Linked DNA regions of Callithrix jacchus. The protein of the gene in region 2 interacts with the protein of the main gene of each other region in a pairwise test. Links are inferred from orthologs where the notes say so. Each region holds a gene or a part of one and is shown on either strand. Other genes may lie near its edges.

What was found. The genes of interacting proteins can lie anywhere in the genome.
Region 1: the proteins of CRX (region 2) and PPP1R16B interact in binary tests that used the Homo sapiens proteins (3 or more experiments, as listed by UniProt). The two-hybrid records come from large-scale screens. The link is inferred for Callithrix jacchus from reciprocal best matches to the Homo sapiens genes CRX and PPP1R16B.

What each region holds. Positions count from the first base shown.
Region 1 is NC_133506.1:34,340,751-34,344,267, reverse strand, and holds part of PPP1R16B (protein phosphatase 1 regulatory inhibitor subunit 16B), read right to left. Parts: intron 2,887-3,517; coding exon 2,380-2,886; 3' UTR 1-2,379. UniProt on the Homo sapiens protein: Regulator of protein phosphatase 1 (PP1) that acts as a positive regulator of pulmonary endothelial cell (EC) barrier function. Involved in the regulation of the PI3K/AKT signaling pathway, angiogenesis and endothelial cell proliferation.
Region 2 is NC_133523.1:41,738,878-41,742,394, forward strand, and holds part of CRX (cone-rod homeobox protein), read left to right. Parts: intron 1-3,178; 5' UTR 3,179-3,212; coding exon 3,213-3,312; intron 3,313-3,517. UniProt on the Homo sapiens protein: Transcription factor that binds and transactivates the sequence 5'-TAATC[CA]-3' which is found upstream of several photoreceptor-specific genes, including the opsin genes.

The sequences.
Region 1 (3,517 bases), on a different chromosome or scaffold from region 2:
TGGGTGGAGAGGAACAGCCCAGGAGGCAGGAGGCATGCAAAAAGGAGAGAATGGCCTCAGGTGCTCAGTGGGTGAGGCAGTATATGCCTTCAGTGTTTGGCCCCTGAGCAAAAAGAAAACCTGCACAGCTCTCTCCTGAGGAGCATATGGTTTCCCTCACACTCCCTACCTTGTAACTAAGGTTGGCTCACGAGGGATTTCAGCATCAGTCTGGGCTGATACTGTTTTACAGCCAAAGGTAAGTGTGTTTTAGATCATCTTGTCCTGTTCTGGCCACAGCCTGAGATGTTAAAGAGCCCACCCCAGATGCCAGCGACATGGGAAGCATCTGTGCACCTGTCTTCAGCCTCCTGAGTCGCCTCCAAGTCTACTCTAGACATCTAACCTGGCATTGGGGTGGAGGTGCCTGATGCTGAGAACCTCTCCCCTTCCAGCAGCCACCAAGGGTGCAGTCACTCCCATGGACCCTCTGCTCTCTGGCCCAGCTCCCCTGCTCCTGGGAAAGCACACCCAGGTCCCTTCAGGTCCAGCTCCCTCTGTGGGTTATGGGGCCACGGGGGCCACAGTAGGGGGCTGAGAATGACAAACAGCAGACCCCATAACTAGAGCTGTGGCACAAGGCGGGGACGCTCTTCCAGCCCCAAGCCCCTAGTCCAGGTACCCCTCAGGGAAAGTTTCTTGTAGACTGAGAAATAAGTGGATTAAAAAGAACCCAGATCTGTTCCCCAAATTAGAATCTGGACCTAGGGCGCCCCTTCAGAGCTCTAAGGAGGTAGTTTAAGGACAAATCAAAGGCGCATAGAGCAGGGGACACACCTGCAGCTTGTTGGTTACACCAAAAGATTCTGGCTGAGCCTGTGGACAGTGGGGGTCCTGGGAGCATCAGCAGTGAGGGGAGAACAGTCATTCACATTTGTCCCTCCCCAGCATCAGGAAACCTGGGGCTATGAAACTGCAGAGCTGGGCAAGACCCAACTCCAGCCCTACCACGGATCTCCTGAATGCAGGACGGGATACCGACCATGTGATCCCTGGGTTCGCAGCCTTGGGGCATCACCACTCCTGCAAGACCAGGCTGGGAGCCCCTGGGCTATGCAGGAACTCAAAAGGGCTGACTGGCAAATCTGCCTTACCAAGCATCCCCAAAAAGGCAAAAGCTGGGCCCGGGGTCCTGAGCACTGACTGATGTGGGTGGATGGGGGTGGGAGGTGGAGGCAGGCAGGCCCCTAACTGCTTGCTCTGACAGCTCAGTCTGAAGAGGGCTGGCTGAGATGGGCTGGGCTGAAACTGTCTAGATATTCACAAAGATCTCAGGGTGCTGGGATCTGTCATTATTAACCAGCAGTATTTTCTTATATTAACTGGCCTCTTTCCCTGGAAAAGCATTCCTATGGAAGCTCCTCATTTAGCTTCATTTTTCCAGCACCAGCCAGTAAAACCCAGTGACCATGATACAATCCACAAAAAGAAGCGAATTCAGTTACCTTCCTCCCTGTTGAGTTTTACAGACTAAAGGAATTTTTTAAATCAGATACACTTTGGTAAATACTGACCTTGTCCCCATCCCCCACCCTTCTGCCTTTGACACTTCCATCCAAGAGCAAAGCATGATTTGGTTGATTCCAGGAATGGAATCGCCTGGTTTCCCCCTCCACCCCTGGATGGTCACACAGCTGGCTCCTGGCATGGGCAGAAGTGTGCCTCTCAACAAGGCTGCGGGGAACAGGTCTGTGCCCATCTTATCTACCCATGTAGGTTCCTGGCTCCCTCTGAACACAATGAGGACTTCTTGCCCCTGCCAGGTGTGGCTGGTGGCCCAGACCTTGGAACGACTCTGAGCAGGACTATGGGTCTCTGCTTAGCAGGCCCCTTCCCCTGCTAAAGCCACATTGGCAGTGGTAATGAGACTCTGGGTCTTAACTTCCATCCTTTTGGGAATACCCCACACATTCTCAGCCTCCTTGCTTCCCCTGAGCCCAGGTATGTCATTTCTACACACACTGATCAAATGTGTGTGTTTGTGTGTGTGTGTGTGTGTGTTGATATGTGACATGCACGTACTGATCCGGAGAAGCCTTTATACCAAGAATAGAGCTGGGATCTCAAGCCCACCCTCCCAAGATCGGATAGCAGAGTGAGCCAGGAAGCCACAATGGGCCTTGTGTCAGATGGCAGACAATGCAGCAGGAAGCAGAACCATGGGACGTGGGACATGGGATGCTATGGGCAGCCAGGTGAGGGGTGGGGTCTGAGTTCCTCTGAAAAGCAGAGCCCACCTGTCCCCAGCTGCCCTCTGACACCTCCCTAGCCAGGGCTGATGGGCTGGCCTGGATTCCAGAAGCCTCTCCCCAGGAATCTCCCTCCTCCATCGCATGGAGACTAGGAGATACGGCAACAGCCATGCACCTTTTCCTCCATCTCCTCTATGGGGGCCTTGAACTTTAAGAGTGGGGGATCTCCGCTGGTGACCGTGTAATATACCGAGGTCCCATTGCTGCTGTACGGTGAAGTTCTGCCTCCGATCAAGGGGGCCTTGCCTTCACTGCTACTCTCGCCTGTCCTGGCCATGCTGCTGCCCAGGTGGGTGCTAAGGAAGGGGTGACTGAGCAGCTTGGCTGCAGCCCGCTGCCGCTTCAGCTCCAGAAGCGTTTGAGGGCTCTCCTTGTAGCTGCTCCAGGGCGGGGTGGCGTCGGCCACGCCAGGGTTGCCATAGGCCATGCTGTAGTCGGGCACCTCATGCACCTTCCAGACATCCCCATTGGCCAGTGCATACTGGTAGGCACTGACCGGAGCCCGGAGGCCATTCTCAACAGGCATGTCCAGTTCACCTCGTGGGATCTTGGTAGGAAATTCAGAGAGTAGCACGGGCTTCTCCAGCCTGGGGTTCTGCGAGTGAGAAGGACAACATTACCAGCTGGCTGGAAGATCTGAACCTACTATCCACCTGTCTCTCTGCTGAGGCCATCGTTTTTTGGATCTCTCCTCTACTTGTTTTCCCTCCCTGGGTATTGAGGCCAAAATCATCCTTAGGGGAACCCCCAATCTGTGAATTTTTCATAGATCTGACTGAATGTGGCCTTGCTCCAGAGCCTGGATCAGGACCCAAGGCCAAGAACAGCCTGGCCAAGATGGTGAAACCCCATCTCTGCTAAAAATACAAAAATTAGCCGGTTGTGGTGGCATGCACCTGTAATCCCAGCTACTCAGGAGGCTGAGGCAGGAGAATCACCTGAACCTGGGAAGCAGAGGTCGCAGAGACTACATCCTAATGACACATGTGAAGCCCTGGATCCTTCTCGGCCCAGACTTTTCAGTTGAATAAGGCAATAAATTCTTTTTGTGTGTAAGTCCATTTTAGTTGTTTTTCAGTCACTTGTAATCCTTCCTCTGTATTTGAAGCGCATCTCACAAAGATTCTTATCCAGGGGTCCTGAATACCCAATAATCCTTGGATAACAAGAGCTTGAAAAGTAGCTGCTTCCTAAAAACTATAAACTAAAAAACTGATACAGGCAAC
Region 2 (3,517 bases):
CTGAGGCAGGAGAATCACTTGAACCTGGGAGGTGGAGGTAGCAGTGAGTACTGCACTCCAGCCTGGGTGACAGTGAAACTCTGTCTCAAAAAAAAAAAAAAAAAAAAGTAAATCAAACACAGGTACAGTCCCTTAGAATAGGGTCCCCTACCCCCGGTTCGTGGTCTGTTAGGAACTGGGTTGCACAGTTGGTGAGCCCCAGCTCCTGTCAGATGAGTGGCGGCATTAGATTCTCATAGGAGCATGAACTCTAATGTGAATTGTGCATGTGAGCGATCTAGGTTACACGCTCCTTGTGAGAATCGAATGCATGGCCCACCCCCGTCCATGGAAAAGTTGTCTTTCGTGAAACCAGTGCCTGGTACCAAAAAGGTTGAAAACTGCAGCCCTTATTTGCAAAGGTATATGCCACAACTGAGGAAAAAAACCCCAAACTGCTGCCTTAGAATATGAAGCACACTTCGGGTGGGTCTGTCAGATGTTAGGCAGGCTCCAGACGACTTGGAAATGGCATGCTGTCAGCCTTTTGTCTTACTGCCAAGCCTAGAGCAATTTTTTTTTTTTTTTTGAGACGGAGTTTCCTTCTTGTTACCCAGGCTGGAGTGCAATGGCACAATCTCAGCTCAACACAACCTCCGCCTCCTGGGTTCAGGCAATTCTCCCGCCTCAGCTTCCTGAGTAGCTGGGATTACAGGCACGCGCCACCATGCCCAGCTAATTTTTTTTGTATTTTTAGTAGAGACGGGGTTTCGCCATGTTGACCAGGATGGTCTCCATCTCCTGACCTCGTGATCCACCCTCCTTGGCCTCCCAAAGTGCTCTGATTATTGGTGTGAGCCACCACGCCCGGCCTTTCTTTGTCTTTTTAATATTTTTTGTTTTTAGAGATGGGGTTTCTCTTGATTTCTAGTAGCTCTGAAATGAAAATAAATCAAACAAAAAAAGGGATAGGGTTTCTACATGTGGGTCAGATTGGTCTTGAACTCCTGACCTCAGGTGATCCACCCGCCTTGGCCTTCCACGTGCTGGGGTTACAGGCATGAGCCACTGTGCCCGGCCCCCTCGAACAATTTTTTAAAACTATGTACCAGAAATCTTTTTAAATCAATTCATAGAGAGCAGCCTTAACCTTTCAAATGACTTTATAGAATTCTCTTGCTTGGAAATGCCGTATTTTACTTAAAACGATTTACATGATATATGTAATTGAGTTAATACAAACCCTTTGGTGAACACGCAGTCTAGTTCTGCACTTTGACTGTTATAAATATGCTGCATTTATTTTATTTTATTTTTGAGATGGAGTTTCAAAACTGATCTTGTCACTCAGGCTGGAGTGCAATGGCACGACCTTGGCTCATTGCAACCTCTGCCTCTTGGGTTCAAACGATTCTCCTGCCTCAGTCGCTGGGATTACAGGCATGCACCACCATGCCTGGCTAATTGCTTGTATTTTTAGTAGAGACAGAGTTTCATCATGTTGTACAGGCTGGTCTCGAACTTCCGACCTCAGGTAATCTGCTTGCCTTGGCCTCCCAAAGGGCTGGGATTATAGGCATGAGCCACTGCACCCTGCCATAGTTTTTTAAGTTTTTGTAGAGATGGGGGAGTCTTACCATGTTACCACCTGAACATAAATGCTATTTTCTTTTTCTTTTCTGTTTTTTTTTTTTTCTTTTTCAGCCTCCTGAGTAGCTGGATTACAGGCATTCACCACCACGCCTGGCTAATTTTTGTACATTTAGTAGAGACGGGGTTTCATCATGTTGGCCAGGTTGGTCTTGAACTTCTGACCTCAGGTGATCTGCCCATCTTGGCCTCCCAAAGTGCTGGGATTATAGGCGTGAGCCACCTTGCCTGACCCTTACTGTCGTTTTAATGCCACTCTCCCTCAGGGTGACCAACCCATCCAGTTTGTCTGGGACCATTCTGGTTTCAGCACTGAAAGTCCTGTGTTCCAAGAAACACATCCTCCATTCTGTCCCACCTCTATTCTGGGCAAACAGGGACTGCTGGTCGACCCGCACTCCTTGGTTATAAGTAAGGCTGAGTGTGTTTGCCCGTGGTCACAGAAAGAACGGATTTTGGATGAGGAAGTGTTATGGGATCAGATTCGTTTTTTTGTTTTTTAGAGACTTGCTGTGTCACCCAGGCTGGAGTGCAGTGGCCTGAACACAGCTCACTGCTGCCTCAAACTCCTGGGCTCAGGTGATCCTCCCATCTCAGCCTCCTGGGTAGCTGGGGTTACAGGTGTGCAATGCCACACTCAATTTTTTAAAAACACTTTTTTTTTTTTTTATTTTAAAGAGACATGGTCTTGCTATATTGCACAGGCTGGTCTTGAACTCCTGGGCTCAAGTGATCCTCCCGCCTTGGCCCCCCAAAGTGCTGGGACTACAGGTGTGGGCCTCTGTGCCTGGCCAGGACCAGATTTTATAGAGGATAGAGTAGGAAGAAGAGCTTGCACTTATGAGGTGCATGACGGCTTCAGCTCTCTGCTTTGCAGAGTCTCAAGGAAGCTCTGAGAAACTTAAGCAGAGGCTGTTTTACACGTGCGGACACAGAGGCTTAGAGAGGTGAGATAAATGGCCAAGGCCACGTACCTAAGAAGAGACTGAGGCAGGATTTGAATCTCAGCCTGCATGCTGGAAATAGATGCTCGGTGCTGCAAAGAAAAATCAGCACTGAGACAGTGGATCTTCCGGCAAGCAATTTTTACTTCCTGGACTGCAGGAAGGGTACCCTCGCTAGCCACCTTGCCCCGAGAGTACAAAGAACAAAGGAAAACACACAAATTTATATCTTATGCATTTGGGGTCATCCTTACTGCTGTGTCTGATCTCCATTGGTTGGGGCCAGACCTCTCAATCTAAACTAAAACCTGATTGGCTAAAAACTTAAAACTTTTCTCAACAGGTAAAAGCAATGGAGAGCTGGGCCATGCCTGTGAGCACGTCCAGCACAGATATCCTGGTTAAAGTACAAGGATATAGAATGTACTGTAAGTGTGGCATGTCTGACAGCTACATAGCATAGGGCTTAACAGAGAGTTATTAGCACACGTACTCTTTTTCCAAGAAAGGAAACTTGAAAAAGGAACTTCTCTGCTTCCCACACCACATGTCACCACATGTGAGTAACTGGTAAGTGAGCGAGCATCCCTCCTCTTCTCTTGCAGGCCCCTGACTTGGGCCTCAGTGTCCCTGAAGATCATGATGGCGTATATGAACCCGGGGCCCCACTATTCCGTCAACACCTTGGCCCTCAGTGGCCCCAGCGTGGATCTGATGCACCAGGCTGTGCCCTACCCAAGTGAGTACATTCACTTCTCTTGGCACCCCAGGCTGGCCCCATCTCTTGGAGGACCTGTGGGTCCCTTTGCCTGCAGGAAGAAGGCAGTCACGGGGGCGACCTCACCATACACCAGCTCTCTGGGTTCATCTGAAATGCATGTCCCTTGGGAATGCAGGGAAGCACGGACAGTCCTAGAAATTTAGGATAGAGGTTCCTTTTAGGG